Oryzias latipes: one gene and its partners. The protein of the gene in region 6 interacts with the protein of the main gene of each other region in a pairwise test. Links are inferred from orthologs where the notes say so. Each region holds a gene or a part of one and is shown on either strand. Other genes may lie near its edges.

What was found.
Region 1: the proteins of cep70 (region 6) and ccdc94 interact in a two-hybrid assay, tested with the Homo sapiens proteins (2 studies listed by BioGRID and IntAct). The two-hybrid records come from large-scale screens. The link is inferred for Oryzias latipes from reciprocal best matches to the Homo sapiens genes CEP70 and YJU2.
Region 2: the proteins of cep70 (region 6) and uncharacterized protein LOC101171023 interact in binary tests that used the Homo sapiens proteins (3 or more experiments, as listed by UniProt). The two-hybrid records come from large-scale screens. The link is inferred for Oryzias latipes from reciprocal best matches to the Homo sapiens genes CEP70 and PIMREG.
Region 3: the proteins of cep70 (region 6) and sytl4 interact in binary tests that used the Homo sapiens proteins (3 or more experiments, as listed by UniProt). The two-hybrid records come from large-scale screens. The link is inferred for Oryzias latipes from reciprocal best matches to the Homo sapiens genes CEP70 and SYTL4.
Region 4: the proteins of cep70 (region 6) and arhgef3 interact in binary tests that used the Homo sapiens proteins (3 or more experiments, as listed by UniProt). The link is inferred for Oryzias latipes from reciprocal best matches to the Homo sapiens genes CEP70 and ARHGEF3.
Region 5: the proteins of cep70 (region 6) and brms1 interact in binary tests that used the Homo sapiens proteins (3 or more experiments, as listed by UniProt). The two-hybrid records come from large-scale screens. The link is inferred for Oryzias latipes from reciprocal best matches to the Homo sapiens genes CEP70 and BRMS1.
Region 7: the proteins of cep70 (region 6) and nol12 interact in binary tests that used the Homo sapiens proteins (3 or more experiments, as listed by UniProt). The two-hybrid records come from large-scale screens. The link is inferred for Oryzias latipes from reciprocal best matches to the Homo sapiens genes CEP70 and NOL12.

What each region holds. Positions count from the first base shown.
Region 1 is NC_019880.2:9,141,798-9,145,972, forward strand, and holds the start of ccdc94 (coiled-coil domain-containing protein 94), read right to left. Parts: upstream 2,801-4,175; 5' UTR 2,699-2,800; coding exon 2,675-2,698; intron 2,491-2,674; coding exon 2,390-2,490; intron 1-2,389. Other genes in the region: cocaine- and amphetamine-regulated transcript ch22 precursor, read left to right, coding at 4,117-4,175.
Region 2 is NC_019872.2:12,650,590-12,654,641, forward strand, and holds the start of uncharacterized protein LOC101171023, read right to left. Parts: upstream 2,801-4,052; 5' UTR 2,773-2,800; coding exon 2,648-2,772; intron 995-2,647; coding exon 691-994; intron 601-690; coding exon 299-600; intron 208-298; coding exon 112-207; intron 1-111. UniProt on the Homo sapiens protein: During mitosis, may play a role in the control of metaphase-to-anaphase transition.
Region 3 is NC_019868.2:10,075,580-10,079,822, reverse strand, and holds the start of sytl4 (synaptotagmin-like protein 4), read right to left. Parts: upstream 2,801-4,243; 5' UTR 2,384-2,800; intron 1,612-2,383; 5' UTR 1,488-1,611; coding exon 1,375-1,487; intron 1-1,374. UniProt on the Homo sapiens protein: Modulates exocytosis of dense-core granules and secretion of hormones in the pancreas and the pituitary. Interacts with vesicles containing negatively charged phospholipids in a Ca(2+)-independent manner.
Region 4 is NC_019863.2:32,612,986-32,617,073, forward strand, and holds the start of arhgef3 (rho guanine nucleotide exchange factor 3), read left to right. Parts: upstream 1-1,288; 5' UTR 1,289-2,175; coding exon 2,176-2,213; intron 2,214-4,088. UniProt on the Homo sapiens protein: Acts as a guanine nucleotide exchange factor (GEF) for RhoA and RhoB GTPases.
Region 5 is NC_019876.2:12,603,394-12,607,347, forward strand, and holds the start of brms1 (breast cancer metastasis-suppressor 1), read right to left. Parts: upstream 2,801-3,954; 5' UTR 2,669-2,800; intron 890-2,668; exon of another isoform or gene 779-889; intron 699-778; 5' UTR 693-698; coding exon 467-692; intron 386-466; coding exon 295-385; intron 190-294; coding exon 62-189; intron 1-61. UniProt on the Homo sapiens protein: Transcriptional repressor. Down-regulates transcription activation by NF-kappa-B by promoting the deacetylation of RELA at 'Lys-310'. Promotes HDAC1 binding to promoter regions.
Region 6 is NC_019860.2:1,154,314-1,157,417, forward strand, and holds the end of cep70 (centrosomal protein of 70 kDa), read right to left. Parts: intron 2,886-3,104; coding exon 2,804-2,885; intron 2,716-2,803; coding exon 2,587-2,715; intron 2,521-2,586; coding exon 2,392-2,520; intron 2,324-2,391; coding exon 2,155-2,323; intron 2,081-2,154; coding exon 1,978-2,080; intron 1,910-1,977; coding exon 1,830-1,909; intron 1,743-1,829; coding exon 1,681-1,742; 3' UTR 501-1,680; downstream 1-500.
Region 7 is NC_019866.2:20,007,494-20,011,718, reverse strand, and holds the start of nol12 (nucleolar protein 12), read right to left. Parts: upstream 2,801-4,225; 5' UTR 2,537-2,800; coding exon 2,427-2,536; intron 1,873-2,426; coding exon 1,767-1,872; intron 1,676-1,766; coding exon 1,627-1,675; intron 1,545-1,626; coding exon 1,408-1,544; intron 1,314-1,407; coding exon 1,219-1,313; intron 1-1,218. UniProt on the Homo sapiens protein: Multifunctional RNA binding protein that plays a role in RNA metabolism and DNA maintenance. Participates in the resolution of DNA stress and the maintenance of genome integrity by localizing to sites of DNA insults.

The DNA of each region.
Region 1 (4,175 bases), on a different chromosome or scaffold from region 6:
AACTTTTGTTGTTGCTCCCATTTTTTATGGTATGAACTCAAAGATGTGAAACATTTTCCACATACACAAAATAACCAGTTCTCTGAAATATTGTTCACAAATCTGTGATATTGAGCACTTCTCCTTTGCCAAGACAATCCATCCACCTTACAGGTGTGCCATATCAAGATGCTGATTAAACAGCACGAGTATTGCACAGGTGTGCCTTAGACTGGCCACGAGAAAAGGCCAGTCTGAAATCTTCAGTTTTGTTTTATTGAGGGGGTCAGGGGACTCAGACAACCAGTCAGTATCTGGTGTGACCACCATTTGCCTCATGAAGTGCGACACATCTCCTTCGCATAGAGTTGATCAGGTTGTCTATCCTCCTGAGAACCGAGGAAAAAAAGTGTCTTCCAATTTTTGTTTTTGTGTGAATTCCTATCTATTTAGGTCTAAAAAAAACCCTCACAATTTTAATTTTTTTAAATTATTTTTTATTTTAATTTCCCAACATGTCCACTGTAGAGGACAACAGGACGATATTTCTGTGAAAGTAGAACTCAATTAGGTAAATCAGACAAAGGAGCAGATTAAATCTTAAGAGTGATATTCATCCAAAAAACATTACATTTTTTTCTAAAACAATAAAATTCTATATCACTTTTGTCACTTGTTGGACCATCTGCTACAGAGGAAGATTGACCAGTAAATTGAGAGCTTTGCTTATTGGCTCTGCTCTCTCCTCACCACAACGTACCGGAACAGCAACCACATAACTACGGACACTGCTCCGATCCGCCTGTCAATCTCACGTTCCTGTCTTCCCTCCCCTCATGGACAAGACTCCAAGATATTTAAACTTCTCCACCTGGGGCAGGGAGACTCCACCCACATAGAGATGGCAAACTACCTTTCTTTGGTCGAGAACCATGGCCTCAGAGTTAGCGGTGCTGACCCTCATCCCAGCCGCTTCACGCTCTGCCACAAACCACCCCAATGCATGCTGGAGGTCCCGGCTTAATGAAGCCAACAGGACAACGTCATCTGCAAAGAGCAGAGCTGAAATCCTGTGGTCCCCAAACCAGACCCCCAACGGCACCTGTCTGTGCCCTAGAAATTCTGTCCATAAAAACTATGAACTATGATAAAGAGCATCCCTGCCAGAGTCCAAAGTGCACCGGAAACAGGTTTGACTTACTGTCGGCTATGCGAACCAAGCCCTTGCTCCGGTCATACAGAGAGCAGACAGCCCTCAGTAAGGCTCCCCGGACCCCATACTCCCAGAGAACCATCCACAGGATACGGGGGACGCGGTCGAACACCTTCTCCAAATCCACAAAACACATATGGACTGAATGAGCGAACTCCCGCAATCCCTCCAGCGCCCTAGATAGGGTGTAGAGCTGGTCCACTGTTACACGACCAGGACGGAAACCTAACTGTTGTTCCTGGATCTGAGGTTCGACTATAGGATGGACTCTCTTCTCCAGTACCCTGGCATAGACTTTCCCAGGGAGGCTGAGGAGTGTGATTCCCCGGTAGTTGGAACACAACTAGATCAAAAACAGATCCTCGAAAATGTTGTTATCAATGTACTGTGAAAAGTACAGGATTGGACACCAGTATTCACAAGCTTTGGAGTCATCTTGAGAGGCAGGGCGCCCTGCTAGCACAGGTGTAAACCTGTTATGATGGACGTTTAAAAAACACAAAAAAAAATCTAGTTAATTAAAAAAACAAGTTATATTTTCCTGAATCTCATCCTCCTCATCCTTTTCATCATCCTAAAGCTCCAAATCTGAATCTTCCTCAACTATCTGGCATAGAATCCTCTCTGCTTCACTTTTTTCTCCTAAAATAATGTGCAGCCATTAAATACATTAAAATGCTCCCGGTGTCCTCTACAGTGGACATTCATTAAATGCCTGCTGTTTTAAAACAGAAAACATGAAACTGTTTTCAGATCTAAAAATATTGTTCCTAACATGTTTATGACCAAGATTATATATAATTATCATGGTAAAAAAAAATGAATAGATACAGACATTTTGACTTGCCTTTCACCTTTCCATAAAAACAGGTTAATGGTATGGAAGCCATCTTGGTAGAGGTAAAACTTAAAGTTCCCAGCATGCAAACTCATCACCTGACACATCACTGGAAAGCCCAGGATGTCCTCTGCAGTGTAGAGTAGGATTTGGAAAGGTATCTCTTAACTCCTTAGAAATATAAAGGTAAACAAAATGTCCATTATAGAGGACATAAATGAATTGGCCGGGTCTAAGGAGGCTATTGTGGCCTGTGGAATTTGGTCCACTCTTCTTCAATGGCTGTGCGAACTTGCTGGATATTGACAGGAACTGGAACACGCTGTCGTATACGCACACAACACAAGTAAAAAACAAACCTCATGTTGAAGGGAGCCATCAATCGGACCACATATTGACGATCTTTAGGGAGTTTGAGTTTGGGTATTTTGGCTGGATCGAAATCCGGGGGGTAGTATTTCTGCAAAAGGCAATTTATTAGCAATATATTGTTTCTGAATTTCACAAAGGATCAATATAAATACGAAAACACAGTAACAAATGCTACAAAAATGAACTCAAGAACGTAATATTTTTCTTAAAATTACGCCTAACTACCCGCTTTAAAGTTAAACACTTCATATCATAAATATGGATGTACTTACATTCAGAACTTTTCTTTCGGACATTGTAACTTTTTTGGATTAACCAAAACAAAGAATTGAGCGAGAAATAAATCGACGAAGCTTTAAGGGGAAAAGAGCTGCAGGCTTAACTTCCGGTGATGTCAGATTTTTGTTTCCGGTCAACAATTATATTATGGTGCCCCCACATGGAAGAAGGGAGTAATTACAACAACAATTTAAAAAAGTAAAGTTGATTGGTCGATATTTAATGGATTTGGATTAACTTGGTTTTGTGAAGTAACATTGATTTATTTATAGTTTATATTAATTTACAGTTGACTCTTTTAGAGTAAAGGGATTATTTATAATGTTTCGGCACAGGAAGTGACACTGTTGGGTTTCTAGAAGATTTAACATGTATGTTGTAACACAAAGGTTACAACATGCACATTATGGCAGTAAACTGACAAGCATCACATTTAGACAGTGGAATGAATATTTGATAAGCTTTGTATTTAAGTTTTACCCGACACTGGTTGTAGTTTTTTTTTTTTTTTAAATCAGAGCCATGAAAACAGTGCTAGCATCAAAACAAAACGACACAATCACGTTTCCTGAAACTTTCATTTGAATCTACCAGTTTATAATAACACAATGACTCTTTAGTCTTATCTTGGTTATGAAAAGTTCAAACATACCGCATATTAAATGTTGCATAACATTCCTGGATTGGTTTAAAGTGGAGTCAATGCTTGGTCACTGTCGTCATGGCTGTCTTCTTGAATCTACCTTTTTAGGAGACATTGGAAGAGATCGTGATCCGTATGGTGACCTTTAAGGTGTATGATGTCAGTGGTGATTTACCTCTGACACGCATTCGTGTGCAAACCAATCCCAACAGGGACACGTTCCTACGTTTTTAAAGGGGTGTTGCAGGTGGGCTTAAGGTTATCCACACAGGAGGAAATTGAATCTTGAGTACAGGTTGGTGTCAGTGAGGTTGGTTGGATTTGATTGAAACCTGACACTAGATATGATGATTATATAAATAAAACTGTTTGGTATAACTGATTGATAAACCTTTAACTTAACAGATTTATTTAGATTAACTTTTAAAAGTTCTTAATATCTGTTTCATGTACTGTATGTTCAAATACAAAAACATAAAAAATTTAGTGTCACATCTTGCGCTTAAAAATGTTCAGGAAATCCACTAAGCTTTGATATTAAGATGGCAAACACATGATATTAAATGTAAATTCACCTTTAGCCCCTTAGGATTTGACCTGGTGTTGTCTTGTCAAAGATGCAAAGGTAACGAGTGATGGCCTGAATAATTCAGAGGCTGCTCCTGCATGTCACAAGTGCAGCATCTGCCTATAAAAACGGGACTTCTCTGGATAGAAGGATCTCCACAGGACCCGTGATTCCCAATTGTCTCCAAAGAGTCGCAGAAACAAGAGTTTTTGGTTTTCAGAACCATGGTCAGCGCGCGGACTCTCCTCCTCGTGGTCACTTGCAGCTGCACCTACCTTTGGCT
Region 2 (4,052 bases), on a different chromosome or scaffold from region 6:
ATTTTTGGAGAAGATATGAATTTATTCCACCACACATGTACAAACACCACACAAACTAACAAAAAAAAAAAAAAAGAGAGAAAAACTTTACAGAAAACCAAAGTACGTTACCCGTCTCGTTTTCCCATAATGTCATCAAAGGCTTTAGACAGACGCTGGAGTCTGCTGAGTCCATTAGAAACGGATTCCAAATCTTGGTCAAACTTTCTGTTTAATCAGAAGAAAACAGAGCTGACATCAGGACCAACACATAAAGGGGAAACACCAACATATGAACACAGGCAGTGACTGAACTCACAGTCTCTGGCTCTGTGTGTTGGGGGAAGCATAAGGACTTCGTAAAGCAGCCATTCGAACCAGTTGCCTCCTGCCTCCTCCTGTTTTAACCCCACGAATGGATCCCTCAGGGGTCTTTTGGCCTTTAGAGGTTGGGGTCCGCCTGGGAGTAGCTGCAGATCTAGGCGTTCGCCTGACTGTTGTGGCTCGCCCAGGAGTACGGCTTGGAGTGCAATAATTTGAGGAACAAGCATTATCTCCTTCCTGACCCGGTGTTGCAACCAAACACTCCTCACGGGAAAATTCTCTTTTTTTCTGCAACCTCTGAGTAAGAGAAGACAGCGGAATGGACGATGTTGAAAGAAACACAAATGGTATTGTCCCAGAACAATTCTTACATGTTTTTTTCTTTACCTGGTACATTCCCGTAAAGGAGTTTCGGGCACTGCGAGTAAATTTGCTGACTGGATTGGGTTTAGGCTGATTCTTCAGGGATTCCCAAGTGGGATTTTCCGGTAGAGAGCCGGTCTGGACCGAGCGGAGTGGGAGGCGCTTGCGCAAAGACATCCGCAGCGAGTTCAGGGAAGATGATGAGCGAAGTTTGCGGAAACGGTCAGGAGCTTCTGGAGAGTTTTCTGCATCATCTGATTCATCTAGGACTGTGTGTGCTCGCCAGACTCCAACCACAGCTCTGCCAACACCATCCATCACTGCTGCGCTGAGAGATGCGTAAAACATAAGGGGAAACAAAGCCTTGAGGATGAAAATTGGGTTTTTGGTAGGCCTGCACAATACACCGCAAATTTATCGCTATCGCAATATCTAGCTGTGCAATCTGCATATCGCAAAAGACAATGAAAATAGCAATGAATGGTTCCCCTACATGTGCTAAAACAATCTTATGGCAACTTGAAGCATTAAACGAATCAAATAAATCCCTTTATGCATTTGACCAATCGGATGGACCCCGTCACGTTGTTGACCAATCAGATGGAGCCCTATTATGTTAGATGTTCGCCTCCTATGTTGACGAGGGTCATTTGGAGTATAATCTTTAAACTGTTGCAATGAAATGGGAATAACATTTTTGGTTGTTTTGCTCTTTGTTTATATACCGCAAATTATATCGTTATCGCAATATTAAGTTTTCCTCATGTCGTGCAGCCCTAGTTTTTGGTGTTTTGGAGATGTTAATATAGCATTTCTCTGATGATGGAGGACATACATGAAGGAAAATAAGCTCAAAATTACATTTCTGAGTATTGCTTTATTGTGAATCAGGAGCAGACAAAAAAATGCAGTTGGATAGCTGGAATTTGGCTTAAAACTGTACAGCTGGATAGCTCCATATTGCTCACCATTTTTTGTAGCAAACGTAATGTAAAGTTGGGGTTGTGAGGGGCTGTAACTTGCAGAGAGCATGTAAACAGATAACTCTCAGTTAAGGGTGACAGGAAGATGGGATGGGGATACTCACTCCGCACCAACAGTCCCACCCAAAACTCAGGGCAATTTTTTAAATGGACTACTGCTGCTCTGCAGAAACTATGTCCTAAAAACGACACAGGCTTTTTATTTATTTTTCAAAGTCTGGTTAAACATGGCCAAGACCACTGAGGACACCTAAAATAGATCAAATGATGGGAGCGGGACTTCAACCATGTGAAAGAGAGCTCATAATTTTATACTTTAAAACTGAATAACATATCAAAGGACACTAAATTAAAAGTCCATCATATTCTGAGCACTTACAATACATAAAATAAGACACAATCAACGGCAGATTTTCAAGGGGCTCACACACTCTAAGACAGTTAGTCGTTAAGTCTCATTTGCTGGTTTGTCAGCAAATGAGAATTAAAGCACTAAAAATCCATCAAAATAAAATAAACATGCACGTGCATGATTAAAAAAGAAATAACTAGCTGTATTAAAACGTAACGCTGAGGGTCAAACCGTCAAAAAGCTCACCAACACCGGTATACCCCCCCCCCCCCCCACACACACACACACACACACTTGGGTGAAAAGAACAAAGTTGTCAATCAAACTGCCCCACCCCGCTTTGTTTTATTCCCGGGGCTCTCACTACTCAATCGACAGATGAAACAAACATCGAAGTCATGTTAGCATGTTATGAATCGTCATATATAAAACACCACATTTGAATAGCAAGAGCTGAACCACACAATTTTTCGGTTGTTCTTCTACGACTAAACTATAACTTTGTAGTTTGTAACGTCACTCAAATTAAATAAGGTCGTGTTTGTAAAAGTGCCGCTAAGTACGCGACACTGGTAGCTCAGTCTTACAAAATAAAAATCAGAAAAGACAATCCAACGTCCAGCTAAATGCTGAAGCGGTAACTTACCTAAAAACCACGCGTTCAATTGGCTTGTTGTCGCTGCTAGCAGAACTTTCCTGTTTGAATTTGGCGGCGGCGGTCACTCCCTCTGTGGAATGCACGCACGCTGACGTCATCACGTCCTTACTCATAGCTCGTGGTGAAATACGTCAAATTCAAAAGAACTCGTCCTATTGTCCTTTTTCGCAAAAATATAGTGGAAAATATAATGCTACTACTACTATTACTACTACAACAACTACTACTACTATTACTACTACTACTACTACTACTACTACTACTACTACTACTACTAATAACAATAATAATAATAATAATAATAATAATAATAATAATAATAATAATAATAATAATAACGTTATTTTATTATGTATTATCATGCTTTTATTTATTTGTTGATAGTAAATTCAGGTTTAATGCAATCTGGGGAATAATAGGAAGAGAGAATATCAGAAAAATGGATTTTTATTGTTTTTAATGGAGTAAGTTTAAGAAATGTACAGTATTTCACAAATATGATACACACAGGCAGTACATGGCTAACTTAAATTTATTTCAAATACTTGAACTTGTCAATGAACTATAGAGCAGTAGAGTTATCATTAGACTGATGGATATTTGCCATAAAGACAGATAAAACACAGAAAATTGCTACAACTATCAATCAAGGGCATTTACACTAAAAGCATGGCAAAATAGTATTCCATCTTCCATTCATCCATTGTCAGTATCTGCTTTATCACAAAGCAAATGTCATATGGTAAACATGTACAGTGAGCATACAAAGTTAATATTATAATGTAAAGTGAGGCTTAGTTGGTGTTCTCTATAAAAAAGAACAAAACAAAACAATAAAAACTCATGATCCAAAAATCATAAAAAGGGTAAATATCATCTTCTTACATTTTGTTCTAAATGTGCCATTAGGCTACTATGCAAGGTACTGATGGTGACCTTGTCCACAGTGAACAGTACCTTCTGTGATAAGCTCCAGTGAAAACCACAACCCTATCAAAAAAACAAAAACATAAGTCACTGACTGTGCTATAAAAACCTGGATGTGCATTTTAGTAAAGTGGCCAGCAGATGTCACTGCAAACCTATTTGTGAAACCCCAGCATTAGATTGGTGGGATCCCAGACAATCAAGTCAATGTTTTTCAACTTCAGTCCAATCATTTCCTAATATGAACATAGCTGTCTTTTCATATTGGATCTTATATGGCTGTATTAAAAACACCCAGCATGTGATTACAATATGTCTACAAGACTACAAACATATGTGTGCGATTCAAAAACCATTAAAATGACAGAGAAGGAAAATAACAAAAACTCAAGACAAATTGCAATCTTTTAATAAAATTATGACATTAATGATTTCTCTGATTGGTCAACCTTGGCCACAAGCTATG
Region 3 (4,243 bases), on a different chromosome or scaffold from region 6:
AAGTTACCATGGTGATATACCCTGGTACGACATAGTGAATCATATTGTAGCTGGAAAACTGGGCTGAGATCTGGAGATAGTTTGGTTAAATCCCAGATCCTGATAGTGGTAAAAACCTGGAAGTCTTAAATCTTTGAATAATAAAGCAACAGGTTACTTGAAGAAACACCATACTAACTAAAATGCAGGAGAACCTGCTCAGGAACAATTAATTCAAACAAGCATCAATCATGCCAATGTCTTTAAAAGAATTATCCTAAAATCAGCAAAGAGCTAAAGCCATTTATCCAGGATGAAGAAGACGCTTTCCAAGTACATTTACTACACTTTCTGGCATAGATGAAACAATAAACATGTCAGTGTTATTATTTAAATAAATAACTTCATAAAATCCAAATTCTCTAGGAAATCCAAGAGCTGAAGGGTTAAAAAAAAGTATCTCTTAACACCAAATTGATCTTATTTTTTTACTTTAGAAAAAAGTTTTCAGTTAAAGTTCCCCTCCAATCATCTTTTGATCTATTGTAAAAGTGTTCCCAGAGGTCTTATAATTAATATTATTTATATTTTTAGATAAAACAATCTAAAAAAAAGACTTTTTATAGGACATTTTTTCTGCAGCGCGGCAGTAGTTTATTAGAAATTCACCTCTGAGTTGTGGGTTAGACTCTTGGTGGATAGTAAGCCTTCACTCATTTCCCATCACCTCTTCTGTTCACACTCTCTCCCACTGGCTTACAGCCCTTCACAACCTCAACCTAACTTTACTGGTGCTACGAAAAGACGTTAATGGATATAATTGTCTACAAGTGGATGCACTGGAATGGAGCGGAGGAGAGCTGCAATGACAAGCTCTTTCAAACAGTGTTTGTTCTTCTGCTCCTGAATTACATTGATTTGAATAAAGAAACTTTAATCCTAATTTCCTTCACATATGCCTCCATCATAAGAACAATGCTCCAAGAAAATGTAAAAAAAACAAAAATGAAGATGTTCATTAATCTATTTCCATTAGAGTGGGTCTTCTAATAATTTCTTACACTTGTTTTTCTAACAAAAAAGTGCTTTCAAACGTTTTAAATGTGAGAATTTTTAGTAATAAAAGTTCCATATTTGTTTAGTTTATATCAGTTGTTGTGTGAAAACTTTTTAAAAACTAAACAAAATTGGGTTATATAGAAATTTGATTAATAAGTATTAAATCAAATCGCATCAAATTCAAAATCAAGTCAAAAGTTATCGAAGCGATGTCAAATCAGTTCAGTATTTTTGGCAGTGATGCTCAGTCCTAGTCATGCCTTAAAATATTTACATGTGTTAAATGTTTCAGATTATAGAAACTGTAAAAACGAATAAGAGTTTCTGTTTTCTTACCGTACACGCCGCTCCTCCGTGAGCCTCAGCTCCTCGTCCCGTTTCAGCACTTCCAGGATCTTCTCCCGCTCCAAGTCGGACAAGAAGCTCAGATTGATCATTTCCAGAGCCATGGCGATTTCAATTAGGAACCGTGTGGATAAACTGGTTTAAGGCTAAAGCCGTTCCACTGAGACAAGATCCATGAAGAGGAAGCCACAGTTTGGGAAGACAGCAAAAGCTGAATCTGTGTTTAGCCTTGCAGAACAAACCCAAAAAATATAAAGTCACATATTCAAGTAGACCTCCTTTAAAGGTTAAAATACGTTTGCCAAGAAATTAACATTTTCACATGACATGAGACATAAATCTGCAGCTGTAAAGCAAACTATCAACTATTCCCTGATGGGTGGGAATACAGATCCAGCATGTAGGGGCGTCTAAAAATCCACCAGAGTGCCTCTGACGGGGAGTGAGGTCGTTTAAAGTCAACCATGGTAAAACAACATGAATGTCATGCCTGGTTCCCACCCTCCAGCAGAGAGATGACAGGGTGGAGTTCAGCAGTTTATTTATTTAATCTTCATCTGACAGTGATCATCTGTTATGGTGTCAGTTAAAACTCATATAGATGTATAAACTAATTTACAGTGAATAGGCAAAGACACAGACTGGAAAGGCTTTTTCCTCGTTTTCTGAATGCCTGAGCCTCACTAAAAATAATAATGTACCAGCAGGACAGCAGGAGGAGGAGGGCAACTTACAATTGAACAGGAAATAACACTAAAATTCAAACGAGTTTTTAAAAACACATTATTGAGGCCATATTTTATTTTTCAACTGAAAATGACAAATGTTTGCGAATGGCTACCTTCTAAATAATAATTAGTTTTGATAATAATCACAAATTAAAACAGAATTGATATTTCGACTAATGAAAAAAAAGCATCGTTTGATGTGATTTTCAACGAGTTGCTGAGGCTAAATAGGGTAAACGTCGATAAAACATTTAAAATACTTGATAACCTACGTTGTTCTTCAGGGCGGTCGCTGAAGTGAAGGACCTCTGCGGACTGCCACCGCGTCAATGAGTCCACACTCAGGCTAATTGAGAGGAAACGCACACCTGCGTGCGTGAAGAAGAAGCTCGACGGCTCTGCTTCACCGCGACCGACAGAAACCGCAGCAAACAGCGGCGCACATGCTAATCCTGCACTCAAGTGTCGTGGAGCTACCACAAACTACAGCACAGCGCTCCTCCTCTTCTTCTACAACCATACCCCCTTCCAGCCAGGTTGTCTCCTCGCCTCCGGGAGCAGGGAGTTCGGTGCGCGCGGCGCCGCAGGAGTCCCAACAAGTACCGGAAGATGAAAGGAAAGTTCCCAGCAGCAGGCGGGCGCGAGCGCTTTTCCACGACAGACGCGTTTCCTTAACTGTTGATCAGAGAATGTGGAAAAGTCACGAACACCAGCTTGATTGGTATCACCCCCCCCCCCTTTATGTGTGACCAAACTTGGAAAACTTTTATTTTTAGCTTTAAATGCGTTAACCCAGAGCGAACAAGAGTTTTAAAGTAAAACGTGTTTTTTTTTTCTAAGTCGGAACAGGCCATTCTTGTCGCTCTTTCTTTGGAAGGTGCCATTATTATTTGTTGAGGCGTGTTTGGGGGATTAACGCACCATTAAGTAAACACTGCTCCTTTACAGTTAAAACTCTGCTGCCCCACTTAAAAACCAACTAGTCATTTATTTACTTTTTAGATGTTTTAAATTGTTGTTAGACATCACATAACGCTTGGAAATAAGTGTGTTGAATGGTTGTGATGCTCCTGTGAATCACTTCCCCACTCATTTGTATGTTTTCCATGATTTCACATTAAAAATTAACATGACTGTTCCTGCTAATAGACGCAGCATAATAATGTGGTGCTTTAATTGCTGAGTTTTAAGACCACTAGTCCTTAGCACCTCCTGACAAAGAAAGAAACTCTTTGCTTATTGTACAAAAATACAGTTCTAATTTGGTTTAAATATAGTGTATTTTTCAGGCTACAAATTGTTCTGGAGTACAAGCTGCAGCAGCCAAAAAGTGGACGATAAAGAAGGAACAAAAATTATAAATAAGTCACAGTTCAGGATAAGCTGCTCTTCTTTGAGAAACGTAACAAAATACAGGAACAAGCATGGCCATGTTATTTTGAAATCATAACAGAATAGATTATTTTATTCTGATTACACTCTTCATTATTGTAACATATTGATGTTTATTTAGCTTCGTGAAACATAAAAGGAATCCAGTATATTTGCGCAAAATATAAACAATTATTACCCACTTCAATGAAAATTACATTTTGGGTGTTTTTAAAATTTTCTGGTAGCATTTTTCTCATGATGGAGGATGTAGACCAAAGGTTTGGACTGTACACACAAAGTGTGTCCAAACTTTCGGTCTTCACTCTATATAAAGAAAATTACGCTTAAAATTTGTGATTCTGAGTATTTAAAAAAAAGTTAAATTGTGAATTAGGAGCAGACGAAAAAAATCTTGTTGGAAAAGCTTGTAGCAGTGATGTAGGTAGTTGGCAAATTCCCGGCCCTGCTCCATTCTGATACATCCACTTGTAAATGACTAGATGCATGTACATCTTTGTTTGTGGCTGGATAGCTCCAAATTTGCTCGCCATTTTGGTCACAGCAGTTGGAGGTGTGAGGGGCTGTGACAGAGTGTAAACAGATGGATGATGGGAGTGTGGGAAGGCTCACATTGCACCAACGGTCCAGTCTATAACTTAGAGGTGAATTCCCGATAAAACTCCTGCAGAAACTATGTTCTAGGAAACAGAACTTGTGATTTAGGCAAAAAACGGGATCACCCTAATTAAAAACACTGG
Region 4 (4,088 bases), on a different chromosome or scaffold from region 6:
TGCACTCAAAGCATTTTAGCCACGACTTTCACCTCTTTCTGACAACAAACATGAACGTTTAAATGTAATCATGTTTGCGTTTTTGAGTAATTTTTCATTTGCATCCGTTGTAACAAGAACTCATTTAGGCCCTTTTAACCCTTTAAAGTCTGTTTCTGACTGAATACTTTTGTATTATTTCGGATTCCCATCGCTGTCTTCTGTTTCATACATGGAAAACATTGCTTCCAACCTGCAAATATTGTCCCATGAAATGTTTGCGTTTTGTATAGGTAGACGATCCTTTCTGTATTGGAATTGTTTTTATATGTGAACTGTTATTTTTATTTTATTACAATAATTTAGGAAGTGAATAAATCTATTTCACAGAAGTTTTTTCTCGATCTCTGCTGCGTTTTCTCCGGTGGAAACTTCAAATCTGTTTTTGGGCAGCATCTGACCGTGTTTCAGACGTGGTTTCTGCGTGACTGAAGAACCATGAAAATGTTTCAGCTGCGCTGAAGCTGATGATCCTGCAGTAAAAGCAGAGAAACCGGTTTTGCTTTGACCGGTGGATCTGCGTTCTGACGTGAAACAGCAGCTCTTTTCTGCGTGAGCACTGAGGCATCGATGCTAAAAACAACAGGAGCCTGCAGGACTCAGGCAGAAGCTCAGTGCACGGCAACTCCAAACGCTGACCTTCAAAATAAAAGCTTCAACCTTTCAGCTGCCTTCGATGCCTTTTTTGTTTTTTGAACAAGGATAACAGAATTCTTTTCACATTAAAGAGTAAATCTTACTGCTTCATGAGGTAAATGTTTGTAGCTCGTCTGTATTCCAGTTATTTAATTCCTGTTGATCACGGATTGAGAACTGGAGACTTGCAGGCAGAGACCTAAGAAGACTTTAGACTTTTGAGGAATGTTTCAACATCTATTTACTGTCAAATGTGACGTTTTGACCAACGGCGCAGACTCCAGTGCAAACGTGCAGAAAAATAAAGAGTGAAAATAATTATAATATGCCTGAGAGGATAACCAGATATACTTCAAAGACCTTTGTTGTCACATTTGTGTTTGTATTTCTGTGTTGTTGCTGCTTCATCTCATTCACTGGTTGGTTTATAGTCATTTTTTAACAACAGAATTTTTATTTTCAAAAATCAAAACTTTAAACTCAACTTTGACTCTAAATAAGAAAAACAATCAGAAATTCAGCAAATGAGTAAAATTAAAATATTGATTAAAATATTCAAACTGATGTAAAAGTCAAACTAAATCTGATCCATAAAGGAAGTGCATCACAAACATCCATGCTGGAGAGTTTCCTGTCCATCCCACGGCGTGATAGACAGAGCATTTCTCTCTGAAGCAGTTGTCTTTTTTCTGCTCAGAGTTCCCCGTCTTCAGTTGGACTGAGGCTTTTATTCTGTTAGACTTCTGAAATCCTCTAGTTTGGCGTTTGGAAGGCCTCAGGCTCCATTTAGACTTTGTTTTTTCTGCCTGTTTAGCCTCCATGGCCTAAAATATCTGGAGCTGATGCTGCTCCTCCAGCTGGACCAACTGTGAAAACATCAGCAGGACTCTGTTCATCCATGACGGTTCATGAACCTCTGGAATTCAGAGAGAAGAGCGTGTCAGGAGGAGGAAAACGTACCACGACTCTCATGGTGTAGAATCAGCAGGAATTGAGGTTCTGTTCTCATGTTCCTTGTGTCAGCAGTAAAGGACCCACGACCATAGAATCCCCCTTTGACATGTAAAATCTGTGCAGTTTCATTTAATAATTTGTTTTCTGCTGTTCTTTTCCCGTCAAAGTTAATAAAAGTAATCCAGGTGTTGTGTAGTGCAGTTTACAGACTGTCCGATTAGGGATTTACTTTAAATAATTGTAATGGATTACATTTCAAATGTACTTGTTTCGTCCGATTAAGAGTGGATGACCTTTATTTTGTTGAGCTTCCTGCTTCAACTTGTGCTTTTATTTCGAAGTAGCAACCGGAAACGGGATGGTTTTTGACCGTTTCTAGCTGAGCGTTTGAAAAGAGGAGGAAAGTGGAATGTTTCCTTCCTCTCCATCTGTTGGTTGCGGGACTTCGTGGAGGTTTAGCTGGACTCTTTCGTGTTTGAAATCACCACAAAGCGGATTTTTTTCCCCGCCTGAGATTTTCTGCTCCGCGGGAGGAGCTGCAGGCCGATGCCGGCAGGTGATGATGGATGCCAGCGGGGATCCAGGTGAGGGGGGGGGCTGTCTGCGATTTTCTTGTTGAATTTCAGTTTAACCTTTTGAATGTCTGTGATAAAAAGTAAAACTTTTGAAACGGATGACCCTTTCTTCAGTCAGAACTCCTTGACAAAATTAGAAAAGTTTTACAGAAAAGGTTTCCCGGTCGAGTCTGACTGCAGAAGAATCTGGATCTTTATGATCCAAACCTGAGAGGAAACGTCTGACAAACGTGTGAACGGGAGTCCACATCAAAGCCGTCATGTCTTTGATGTTATCACGTGATCGGACTGTTTTTGCCAGTTCGTTTGGGTCTCAGGTGATTTGCTGCCTCGTGCAGGTGTTTCAGGTCGTTTCCATGTTGTGCTGTGACGTCAGCGTTCTTTAGGGATTGAGTAGCTGAAGAAGTTTCTTTAAACCAGTTTGGGGAGAGGAGGAAGTTTAAAGTCTCTTTGGGCTCCTTTGAAAAGCAGAAAAAGGTATGTAAAGGATGCAAAACGTCAACCAATCAGAGGTCCTGACCCAAGGTGACTTCATGGCTGAAAACCTTCACCTCACGGGAGAATTCTCACCTTTGTACGCAAACACTAAAGTTTACGCTTTTGCTGACATCAGATGAAGTTAAAAACGGCATGAATTCATCCAGATATCCGGGTTCCACAGCAACACCAGATCATCACATCACCACCACCGTGCTTTACACTTGGTGTTTGATTTTCTGCAGAAAACAAACAAGCAGATCAGGTTTGTTCAGATTCAGACTCGGACTCTTAAACCTCCCGGTAAATGTTCTTGATTTTCTGTGAAGTGACTGCAGTTTATGTGAAGCAACAGTTATTTCTCTGCTTGGACGGTTCTGTTGGAGATCTGCAGGATTTTCTTTTAAATAAACCCAAAACAGCTGCTTTTCCAGCTTCTAGAAAATAAAAATCATTTAGAAAACAGTTTGACCTGAGAATCATGAAAGCACGTGTTTTTAGGATGCAATAAATGATGTACAGCTGCTTTTTTTGGACAGCCAATCATTTCAGAGGCTCCCGGGTTTGGAAAGTGAAAGGTGGTGCTTATGCTCTGGGATCCACTACAAGTGTGAACATTATTTTCTGTTCTGATAAAAGAAAAAAAGGTTTTCCTCATAGAGTCAATATTTTCCCTGTTAGGTTGACGTCAACAGCATCTTAAGTTTGAATCCACATTTATTTCCTCATAAAAATGTTTCTTTTTTTGTTGGAGTGTTGGTTAAAGGGCACATCTGCATGGACAGAAGGGGTGGGGTCTATTGAAAACAGATGAGGGGAAAGGATGAGGTGCAGGAATGGAACCTGCAGCCAGACACACGTCTGATCTGCATCTGCGATGCTCGCCGTTCCTGGTTGGAGTCGCTGGAGGTCGGACGGTTTAAAGAGCGTGTTCAGAGTTAGACGGACATGCACTGAGGGAGGGGCGCCTTTCCTTCTGGAAAAACAACTCCCAGGAAGGATTGAGTCATTTTCAGGCTCTGAAACGAGCAGAGAGCGTCCGCTTCACCACAGGCTGCAGAGCTCTGATGAAATCCAGAGGCCAGTAAAGCCCCCCCCCCCCCCTTTAGGATCTTTACATTCGACTCAATGTCAAAAACTAGCAGTCATCATCCACCATCATGTCCTTCAGATAACTTTAAAAAGCTACAGACTCACATCTGGTTGGAGAAGATGCTGCTGAAATACACAAAAGCTTCAAATGAAGCCAAGTCTCTCAGGAACAGTTATTTACTATATTAAAAACTGTAAAAGGATTCAAGTTAGCGGTTGATGTATCTGGTTCTTTTGCAGCAGGATTTGTGGATCCAATCATCAGTTAGATTTGAGCCAAAGCTGGGAAGAACCACTTTGTTTGGAGGAGATCCG
Region 5 (3,954 bases), on a different chromosome or scaffold from region 6:
TGTGCGTTACTGAGGCGGGGTGAACGTAGCTGCAGAAGGGAGGAGGGTTTTTTTCTTTTACCGGCGACTTGCGTCCGTATCTGCATGCTGTTCTGCAGAGCCGTCAGCGGCTCCCGGTACTCTCCAGCCTTTCCTGTCAGCACCTCATCCAGCTTCACCTTCACCTGGTTCAGCCGCTCCCGGAACAGCCTGCAAGCACAGAGGCCCTTTAGTCGAGGTTTTCCTGACCAGTGATGTTCACATAGCAGACCACATCCCATAATACCCCCCCCCCAGTGCCAAGTTTGGAGTTACTTCTCCTTCAGCTCCTGAAACTGTTTCTCCAGATCCATCATTTCATCGAGACACTCTCCTCTCCTCCGCTCACAGTCTTCATCGTCCATCTCTTCACAAAAGGACACATAAAGGAAATTTATTCTCTCTGCATTTTTGAATCACTTCTATAAAAAACCTTTTTTGTTTTTACCTGAACTCTCCTCTTCCTCCTCCTCCTCCTCCTCCTCTTCTTCAGTCTCATCCAGGTCGCTGTCCCTCTCCTCCATGCTTTCCTCCATGGGCTCGTCTCCTCCCCCTCCTGCTCTCGTTTCATTCCGCTTTGGCTCCTCCGTGTCGCCGTTGGCCGTAGGGAGTTGGGACTCTCCTTCTGCCCCCATCTTCTCCTCTGGCTCCCTCACAGGGGGTTGGGCCGGCATGGCGAGCTGGAAACAACAACGACAAGCTCAACGACAAAAGCTTTCAGTCACAAAATCCACATGTCCCTGATGGTCCACAGACCTACCTGAGTGTTACTGAAAAAGGTTTTAGTCTGTCATCTTAATGGTTCATGCGATTTAGAAAATCACAAAGAAAACCAATGAATCCATTTAAAAGAATTGATATACATTTATTTGCATTTCACTGAGGGAAATTAGTATTTGATCCTTTAGTAAGAATTAAGAGTTCTGGTTCACACAGACTCTCCTAATCCTGTCACCTGAATTGAAGACACCTGTTTGAACCAATCCCCTGTAGAAAAGACACCTGTCCACAGAATCATTCAGACTCCAAACTCTCCAACATGAGAGACTAAAGAGCTTTCACTGGATTATTTGGAGAAGATTCTAGATCTGTTGACCCCAAGAGCACCATCCCCACTGTCGAGCGTGGAGGAGGAAGTTAAATCTGATCATACAGCCAAGTCAATCATGGAAATGGCTGCAGAGGAAGCAGATCAAAGCCATGGAGTGGCCCTGGACCTCAGTCCTATAGAAAATCTATGGGGAATGCTGAAGCTTAGGGTTGCTAAGCGACAGCCATTAAGGCTTGATGATTTAGAAGTCATTTGCAAAGAAGAGTGGACCAAGATTCTTCCTGATATGTGCAGAAACCTGATAATCAACTATGTCTGACTTCTGTGCTGCTAATAAGGCTTTTCCAATAAAGTACTACGTCTTCCCAGCAAGACAGTTAAAATAATAGTTTCCCTCAATGAAACGCAAATAAATTCACAAATACTTTAAAATCGATTTCTCGCTTTTCTATCTTTCACTGTTCAAATGAACATAGTGTTCAGATGACAATTTCTTTTGAATGCAAACCAACAAAATCAGCAAGAGATCAAACACTTCCTACACTGTATGTCAGAAATGCATTTATAACATCTGGCAAAACAAATGCTTTTAAATCAAAGCCATATATTTTTTAAAGTATTCTTGTGATGATGTTTGTAAGATATGCGGCATTTGTGTTTTTACTGATGGGATGACCTCGTTTATTTGATAACATTAGGAGTTTTAAAGATTCTTAAAGATGTCCAAACAGTTTTTGGTCTAACAGATTCACGTTACATTATTATACACGTTCTACAGGTGAATTCATTAAATTACAACTACATTTATTCAGTATGTAATGTGGTTAAGTCAAACCTTGACGATGACTTAGCTTTAATAAAGCTACAATAACAAGGGTCAAAACCGGAAATCGATTAGCTAAAAACAAATGCTAAATAAACAATAATTATTTTACATTGCATAACATGGCAAAATGTGTAATAAGCGTGTGGTAAAAACTGAAAATAATTTTTTTCTAAACGTCTAAAGGCCTAAAAAGGTTCAATAATGTTGAAAATTGCCATTTAGGTTTTTATTCAAACCGGAAGTCCGCTTTCACAGTGCTTAACTTGACCAAAACTGGCTTCCGTATGGAGGTAGAGTAAACTGGTAAACAAAATGAAAGCAACGGCGGGATTTAAAGCCTACACTAAAGTCAGGAAAAGAGACGCTCGTTTTGAAGGCTGCACTCACTTAAAAACCCTGTAATGTTTATTTCGCATTTCGGCCGCACTTTCACCACATTGAGCTCAAACACACCTCCGTGAAGTCAAGTGCAACACAAGCTAACAATTGAATCAAAAACGGAGACGGCAGTCACTGCGCACGCATCACATTTACACACGAAGGAACCGCCTTTCTCATGGAAATCTTCTTGAAACGTTTTTATTAATTAAAGATGGAAATTAGCACTCCAGAGAATCATAGGAGCATCTTGCAGACCGACCTGCCAACCGAACTACACGGATTAACTCGAAGAACGCACTCCCTGAGTCCGAGCGGACAGGGGGATGCTATCCGCTACTAACAAACATAAATCATCTTTATTACTGTTAAGTCAGACGTGAAAGCCATCTTACCGTGTCCCTTAGCCGAGCTATGCAGAAGAAACGTTCGGTTTAATGATATATTTCCATTTTGGAAAGTACTTCCTCTTCGATCGGCTCCTCTTCAGTTAGACACTTTGCCGGACTCTGTGAACTGTAAAATCAACCAATCAGCGTCGAGGGCTGCTCCTGACTATCCAATAGGAAGAACCATCCCGCAAGCACCCTGTCCAATCAGAATGAAGACACAGCTTCTATGAACCAATTGTAATTTAGATATACATCTCCAACATATAATTTAAATATAATATAATTAAGTAGAATGAAAAATTGTTGTTTAAACACAACACTACAAGAAAAAAATACAATTTCTGATTATGTTTACGTCACATGAAACGCAAAATGTAAAATGAAATTGAGCATAAAATAATTTTGCTCAACCTCATGCATATACAGCAAAATTTTTTTTGATACGTGTAATAATAAACGGAAGAGCAAAAATATTGACATTAAAAGAAAATGATCCACAAATCGTCAGTTTTACATATTTTTTATTAAAGTTGCATAAAAGTAACAAAATTGGGCAAAAACAAGACCTGTTGTTGATATTGCTACATGTGTTTGTTGGTTTGCCTAATTTTTAAAAACTGTACACTCCCCTAACACGTCTAATCTGCATGGTTTAGCTCTTGTATTTAACCTCAATGGTAAAATCGTTTTTTTTCTTTCCCAAACAGTAAAAAAAAAACCAGACTTGTCAATAACAGTCTAAGAAGACATAATAATAATCCAAAACTTGAACTTTAAAAATGAAAATCCACTGAAATTCAGCTGCTGACTGAACTTGCCTGGTGCAATTTTACTGATCGAAAAAGGGAAGAAAAGTAAAAACTAAAAAACAGCAGTCGATCTATCTGGAAACATCATTGAGAAGGCAAAAACAATCACATCTGAATGGATTTTTCTTCAGCTAACAAATCAGTCCAAGGCTTGGCGTTGAGAAGGGTCGCGATCACAATTTATAAACAGACCAGCATTCAAACACATGGTTTATCTGAACAGCATCACTGCATCAAGGCCTACGGCAAATATGAAACACACCTAAAAAATATTGGTTTAAAAAAAAAAACAGAATCTCAAAAAAGGAAAATCCAAGATTCTCCCACAAGATGTAGCTCCACCTGGTAGCACATCTAAAGAAAAAAGCAAAGATGTCTCCTGTTTATTTGGTTTGTGTAACATAAATAATACCTAAGGCAACATCTGTTTGAAAACAGGAAACTCAAGAGCGATGAGGGAGCAGGACAGGAGGATGCATG
Region 6 (3,104 bases):
AGACTTAACTGTCAAACGTTATGCGTTCCTCCTTCATGGACTAATTTCTTCGATTTTGGCAGTTGAAACTTGCACAATGAACTGGCATTTTGTCAAAAAATGTGTTCACATGCATGCACTGCAGCAGTGACTTGACCTCACCAAGATGGCGGTGCTCTCCTCCCATGAGGAACTACGTGATGTCTCCTCTAGCGATAGAACTCATTGGTCCGTTCCTTTTTTTGTTTTATTAGAGCGTGAAAAAAATATACCGGGGTGTACAAATCCTTCACAATTCTGATAAAATTTTAAAAATACTTTAATTTTTGTTGTTTGTTTTTAATCACAAGAAAACTGACCTCAACTTTGTTTCCAATCTCAAATTTTAATTCTAGATGGAGCTGCTTGGATTTGAACCCACAACCATCCAATCTCAACGCAGACACTCCACTACTAGGCCACTTAGCTAAAGAATATAGAAAGGAAGAATGGTAAACACAGAAAACTACACAATTACAAAAAAATGTTCAAAATTTGTTTTTAATTTACCTTAAATACCATAATGACTTTCTGTATACAAAAATGCTTCCATAATTCAAACAGTTTGACAATAAAACATATTTATAACAACAAAAAGTTGCGGCAGCTCATTAAAAACAGGCCAATATGTTCTACCAGCATTCGTGTTTATTTCACAAAGGAAACGTAACAATAAGAGTTTTTGTTAAATATTTTCTGTACTTTTTGTGTCTAAATGAAATGAGAATGAAAAACAAATGTTAAGAGATATATTTATAGGCCATATCACCCAGCCCTTGGTATCCTCTGACAGCTATTTGATTCCTTCCCGAGTGTCAATTGACAGCTCCTAGGTCCTGTCCCTAGTGTCCTTTGACAGTCCCTTGGACCTGTCCTAGTGTCAATTGACAGTCCCTTGGTCCTGTCCCTAGTGTCCTTTGACAGCCCCTTGGTCCTGTCCCTAGTGTCCTTTGACAGCCCCTTGGTCCTGTCCCTAGTGTCCTTTGACAGCCCCTTGGTCCTGTCCCTAGTGTCCTTTGACAGCCCCTTGGTCCTGTCCCTAGTGTCAATTGACAGCCCCTTGGTCCTGTCCCTAGTGTCCTTTGACAGCCCCTAGGTCCTGTCCCTAGTGTCCTTTGACAGGTCTTTGGTCATGTCCTGAGTGTCAATTGACAGCTTTTTGGTCATGTCCCTAGTGTCCTTTGACAGCCCCTTGGTACTGTCCCTAGTGTCCTTTGACAGCCCCTTGGTCCTGTCCCTAGTGTCAATTGACAGCCCCTTGGTCCTGTCCCTAGTGTCCTTTGACAGCCCCTTGGTCCTGTCCCTAGTTTCCTTTGACAGCCCCTTGGTCCTGTCCCTAGTGTCCTTTGACAGCCGTTGGTCCTGTCCCTAGTGTCCTTTGACAGCCCCTTGGTCCTGTCCCCAGTGTCCTTCGACAGCCCCTTGGTCCTGTCCCTAGTGTCCTTTGACAGCCCCTTGGTTATGTCCCTAGTGTCCTTTGACAGCCCCTTGGTCCTGTCCCTAGTGTCCTTTGACAGGTCTTTGGTCATGTCCAGAGGGTCAATTGACAGCTCTTTGGTCATGTCCCACAGGTATTTAGTGGAGGACAGAAGAATTTCCGAGAAGTGAAGGAACCGAGACGGTTTTATTCTCCTGTGGTTTTTTTGTGGAATAATCGGGAGATCAGGCTGCAGAACGCTGCAGAGACTTCAAAGCAGGAAGGATTTCCTCCAGGTGAGTCACACCTGCAGCACAAACAGGACAGCAGATGATCTTCCTTCAGCCAGCAGCTGTTCAGTAATGAGACGAGAACATCAGAGCTTCACCCTCACCCAGAGTCTGTAGGATGTCGGTGATGAGGCGGTGGAAGGCGGGCAGGAACTCGTCGTGCTGCTTCACTTTGAGGATGACGCTGCAGGAAGAAGAACGGCGTGAAGAGGGGAAGCAGCCGAGCGCCACTCTGGAGCTGCAGGTGCTCACCTGTCGATGTCCGCCTCCTCCAGCAGGTCCCGCAGTCCCGACTGCTGAGCAGACGCCAGCGCAGACACGTGGTTCACCACCTCCGCAGGCGACGCTCTGCCGTCTGCAATCAGAAAGACTCCAGCGTGACTGCAGGAATGCGCAGACCAGCCGCCGGACGGACGGGATCAGAGCTACCCAGGTCCAGAGCGTCCTTCAGGTTCCTCATGGCGTTGGTCATCTCTGCCAGCCGCGTGTAGACCTCGTTCATGCGGGGGTAGACCCCTCTGAGGGACGGAACGTCGAACAGCTTCTGGAAGTGGGACACTATGGCGCTCAGAGTGTAGGGGGCGGAGTTCCGGAGCTTCTGGAGAACAGAGCAGAGTGAGAACCTGACGCTCGGACCAGCGCCGACCCACAGGCAGACCGGCAGACCTGCTCAGGGTCTTTGGATGCGTTTTCCAGCATGTCCTCCACCAGCACGATCAGGTCCTCCACCTTCACCGCGGCCGCAGAGTCCTCTCGAGGCCCGCCTGACAGGTCCACCAGCAGGTCCCGGAGGTCCTGAAGACACAGCAGTGTCACACATCGGCACGTCCTCACCGCGGAAACCCCAGAACCACGCCGTACCTTCAGCAGGCGGCGCTGGCCAGCCCAGTCCTCCAACACCGGCAGGAGCGCCTGGAAGTCAGCCAGCTCTGACTCCGCCTCTTTGGAGGAGGCGGGGCTCCCGATGACCGCTCTGATGTCAGACAGCAGCTGGAAGCAGAGAGAGGGAGGAGACGGTAAAACAAGGAGGAAAACATCAGAGTGAAGCTTGGACAGAGACCGGGGGAAGAGCGCTCACGGTTCGGAACTGAGCGCACAGCCAGACCTCCCTAGGAGGTTCTTCTACGCCCTTTGTCTTAGCTCCGCCCACTGTGGTCAACCTGCAGAGACAAGAAAGGAGTGGAAAATAACCGTAGGTAGCTCCTCCTCTGTCCGTCACCACGCAGAGGAGCTCCACCCTCAACCAACAGAACTCCACCAGAACCACCTTTAGGCTGCGTTCAGCTGGTCCTTAGCTGGTCCACGTCTCAGCTCCTGCGTTCTAAACTCTTGCGTTCACGTGGAGCTACACAAATTCCTACGACAGTTTTCAAACTAAA
Region 7 (4,225 bases), on a different chromosome or scaffold from region 6:
TTACACTAAGATCTGAGAGTGACGGCGGTCAGTGAGCACGTTTAAATCCACAACTCATTCCAAACAAGGGAACATTCGGGGAAAAAACGGAGTTCATGTGTCTTATTTATCCATCAGACGCAGCATTGAATGATGATTTTATATAAAACAAACAATTTAGTTGATGCAAACATAGATCTATAGACCATGTCCCCCCTTTCAGACCCAGATTGTCAGACTGAAATATTTCATCAATCAGATCTTCCTCAATCTTCCTCTTCTACTGCTTGTTGTTTTTATTAAAACAGACACTCCCATGAAAACTTTTTGTGGTGTTTTTAACATGTTCTTGTGTCATTATACTGATGATAGAGAAAATAAGTAAAGAAAATTGATCTCAAAATTGCACTTCTGAGTATTTTCATTCATTCATTTTCTAAACCCGTTTTGTCTCTTTCGGGGTCACGGGGCTGCTGGAGCCTATCCTGGCCACTCGTGGGCGAAGGAGGGGGACATCCTGGACAGGTCGCCAGTCTGTCGCAGGGCCACAAATCACACACCCTTGCACACTCACATTCACACCTAGGGACAGCTTAAAGTAACCAATTAACCTATGAAGCATGTTTTTGGATGGTGGGAGGAAGCTGGAGTCTATTTCTGAATATTTCTTTATTCAAATCATTGTGATTAAGGAGCAGACGAAAAAATGGAAAGGAGCGCATCTCCTATGTATGTCTTACGGGTCACAAGCTCCCTGCGACGACTAAATCCATGTGCAGTGGGGCAAAAAGTATTTACCTGTCCGCAAACTCAAACAGTCAACCCTCCAATTGCAAGCATTCACCTCTCCTACAGTTCCAGTTATCACAGGTGTGCCCCAAGGCTCTGTCCTGGGGTCCTGCCTCCTCCCTCCAGCTGGTTGCACCCACCGGTGGGCTCACCTCCATGAGCTCTGCCCCCCAGCTCTGGAACTCACTTCCCTCTGATTTACGGAACATGGACTCACTCCTTCAGTTTGCTAAAAATCTCAAAACCCACTTCTTGAGACTAGCAAATCCACCCTAATTAATTTATAATTCTATTGTTTTTTTTGTTGTTGTTTTTAATGAACTTAACAAATGTTTTCTTCTTGTAACTAGTTTTATGATTGTTTTGTACCTGTAAGGTGACCTTGGGTGACTCTTGGGTGTATATACACACACACACACACATACATGTATATCAACAGAATCCACTTACTTCTTGTTGATGATTGGATTCCCCGCTTTTTTTGGCATGGTGGGAATTTGTTCTTTCTTCTCTTCGTCCTCTTCCTTGCTGCCTTCATCCCCATCCTGCTCATTTGGAAAACCAAATACCAGCAGTTTTTTTTTTTTTTTGCTAAAACCTTTTTACTCAAAGAACCAAAGAAAAGACTTAAATGTTTACCCGTGTTGTTTCAAGCAGATGGTTCCCAGAGAGGTCTAGATCGTTGATGGTCGTCACAGTAACAGTATGGTTTGGGTGATCATACTGTACAGACTCAGTTTTACTCGTCACTACATCTTCCAGAAGATCATCGTCAGCTGCAACCCAGAAAGGAAGAAGGTAATCGGACTTTAGCGTCAAAAGGAAAAATAACAACTATCTACTTCTTGGTTTACTCACCAAGAGCTTCTGTCCTCTCCTTTAGCATTTTAATGTATTCTTTAAGCCTCTACAAAAAAATAAAAGCACAATAAATGACAGCATTTCTTGTTAGGCAAAGCAGATCTGATGGAAGTCAGATCCTAAATTTTGAACCTTACTTCTTCTTTGACTCTTTTTTGCTCATCCTTTATTTTATTTTCTATTTCTTTCACTGCTGCTTTCTTTCTTTCCAACTTCCGCTTGTGGAATCCAGTGAGATACTCTCTTGAAAAGGGGAAAAGGTAAAAGGCCTCTTATTTAAAATTCAAACTCCCATTTTGAGCTGAAAACTGTAGGAGACTAAAAATGAATCATGAATCAGAAATAAAGCAATTTCTAGAGGAAACATAACTCCAACCTAAAGGACATAAACCCGTGGCACAGGTAAGGTGCCTGGCACTTTTTCCCTATTATTTCGTATTCTCCTGTCGTCATCACAGGTGGTGGAGTGATTACAGGTCAAAAGTTTCAGCAAAAGTAAGTGAAAGAGTTGCTATAAGGTATATGCCAGGCTTGGAAGAAAAATAACAAACAAGCGCTGACATTTATTACCTGTGTTTAAATATAAAACAGACCACAGACGGTGCTTTCATTTTTTGTTTAGTTATTTCCGTCATATCCTTTTTTAAAATACCAGTATAGATAGACAGCTGGATAGATAGATAGATATCACCCAACAACTTCTCCTGTCTCTGTTTTCAGTTTGAATTCACAAGCATGTTATGCTAATATTAGCCAAAGCTAACCGTTAAAAACATTTTTATCGTCTTTAAACTTACTGTCTGTCTTTGTCATCAAACGTAACGACGCATTTGTTTTCTCTCCTCTTAGATCTGGGCTTAAATGTAGACTTCTTTGAGGCCCGGTTAAAGTTTTTACTGTTTTTCATTGTGAACACGTGAGTGAGCGGCGGTGGTCCACTTTATTTACATGCGCGTCATTTGATTCCGTCCGACGGAAAACAAGTACTTATGGATCGTTCCGCCGAGCTAGGAGTTGTGCCAAGATATGTTTCCCCTCCCAGGATTTGTTTCCCCTGTATCTGATATCGTTAATTTGTCTCTTAAAACTAAAATATAAGCGTAAAAGGAAGGTGCATGTCTACGATATAATGTGGCAAAATATGAGGGCTACGAAACAAATCAACGATCCCAGTCCCAGAAGTTGTGCCGCGACAGCGGAAACAAATTCCGGCAGGGGAAACATTTCTTGGCACAACACCTGTTAAGGAAAAAAGGTTAATATTGTTTATTATTAAATTTACATTCCATTATAAAGCAGTTCAACTCTCATTTCTTGTGGAATCTCGTCATGCTTTTCTTGCAATTATCTATAGAAGCGTATTGCATACAAAGAATTGCAGCTTCATATTTAGCATTAAGTTTTAGATCTTGGTAGAAGGAACTTCATTACTGGAACATTTTCGTGGAAATATCGCGCTTTTTTGTTAATTGAGTTTAAGTATTTTCCTTTTTCTTTTATGATACACTGATTTTCAAAACGCAGCATCACCACTTTGTTCGTCAAACCAATTTTATGGCAAACTTCCATCAGTCGAACCAGCAGAGATGTTGTTTTGAGTCTTACTTCTTGATTATCTTCTATATAAAAAGGTACACAAACTGCAGGTGAAATTCTGTTGTGACATTTTATTATAAAACTTTAAAAGAAAGACATACATTTGATAGGGCAAAAGACAAAAATAAAGTAACAATTTCAAAGAAAACCAAAAAAAAAAAAAAAGCACTGGTTAAAGGCTGACGACCGACGCTTGACCGGTCAGAGAGTTTGAATGCAAACGGATTAAACCTTTCTATGTTCCTTTGACTGTAGTTTGACGTGAAAACTGATTCCTGACATTTCCAGCCCGTATACCCATAGATCCTAAAATCTCCAAACATTATTTATTATTAACTATAGGAGTGAGTTCTGCAGACAAAGCTTACATTTTAGATGAAGAATTGTTATGTACAAACAAAAAAAGAGCTTTTTTGAGATGCCCCTCTGATCCTAAAGATGATTTCTTCAAAAAAAAAAGAAAAAGAAAAGCCCACCTTTAACAAAACCGCCCCACAAAAACATTACCAATACCTTTAAATACATTACTCTGAGCAAAGAAAAATAACAACCAAAGTGCTGCGGCACATACACGTCAACAATTACAAATAAAAGAAAACAGGACAGAGATCTGAAAAGACAAACTCTGTCAGATCAGACCGGTGTGATTTGTGGCCCTGCGACAGACTGGCAACCTGTCCAGGGTGTCCCCTGCCTTCACCCTCCAGTGGCCGGGATAGGCAGCAGCAGCCCCGTGACCCCAAAAGGAACAAAGCGGCTTAGAACATGAATGAATACAGAACATCAAGGTCATTTTGCTTCAGAGTCTTCCAAGGCAGGAACCTCCTTTTGGAAAATTTGATTCATCCGTTTTTGTTTTCATGTTTCCAAACATCCTTCCAAACACTCAACGTATGAAGCTGAACAGCTGGATGGAGTCAGCTGGTAAACGACCACGGCTGCTGCTGGAAGGCAACCTTACGTGAACGTCTGAGGAAAAAGTTTGGAGGAATTCAACCTG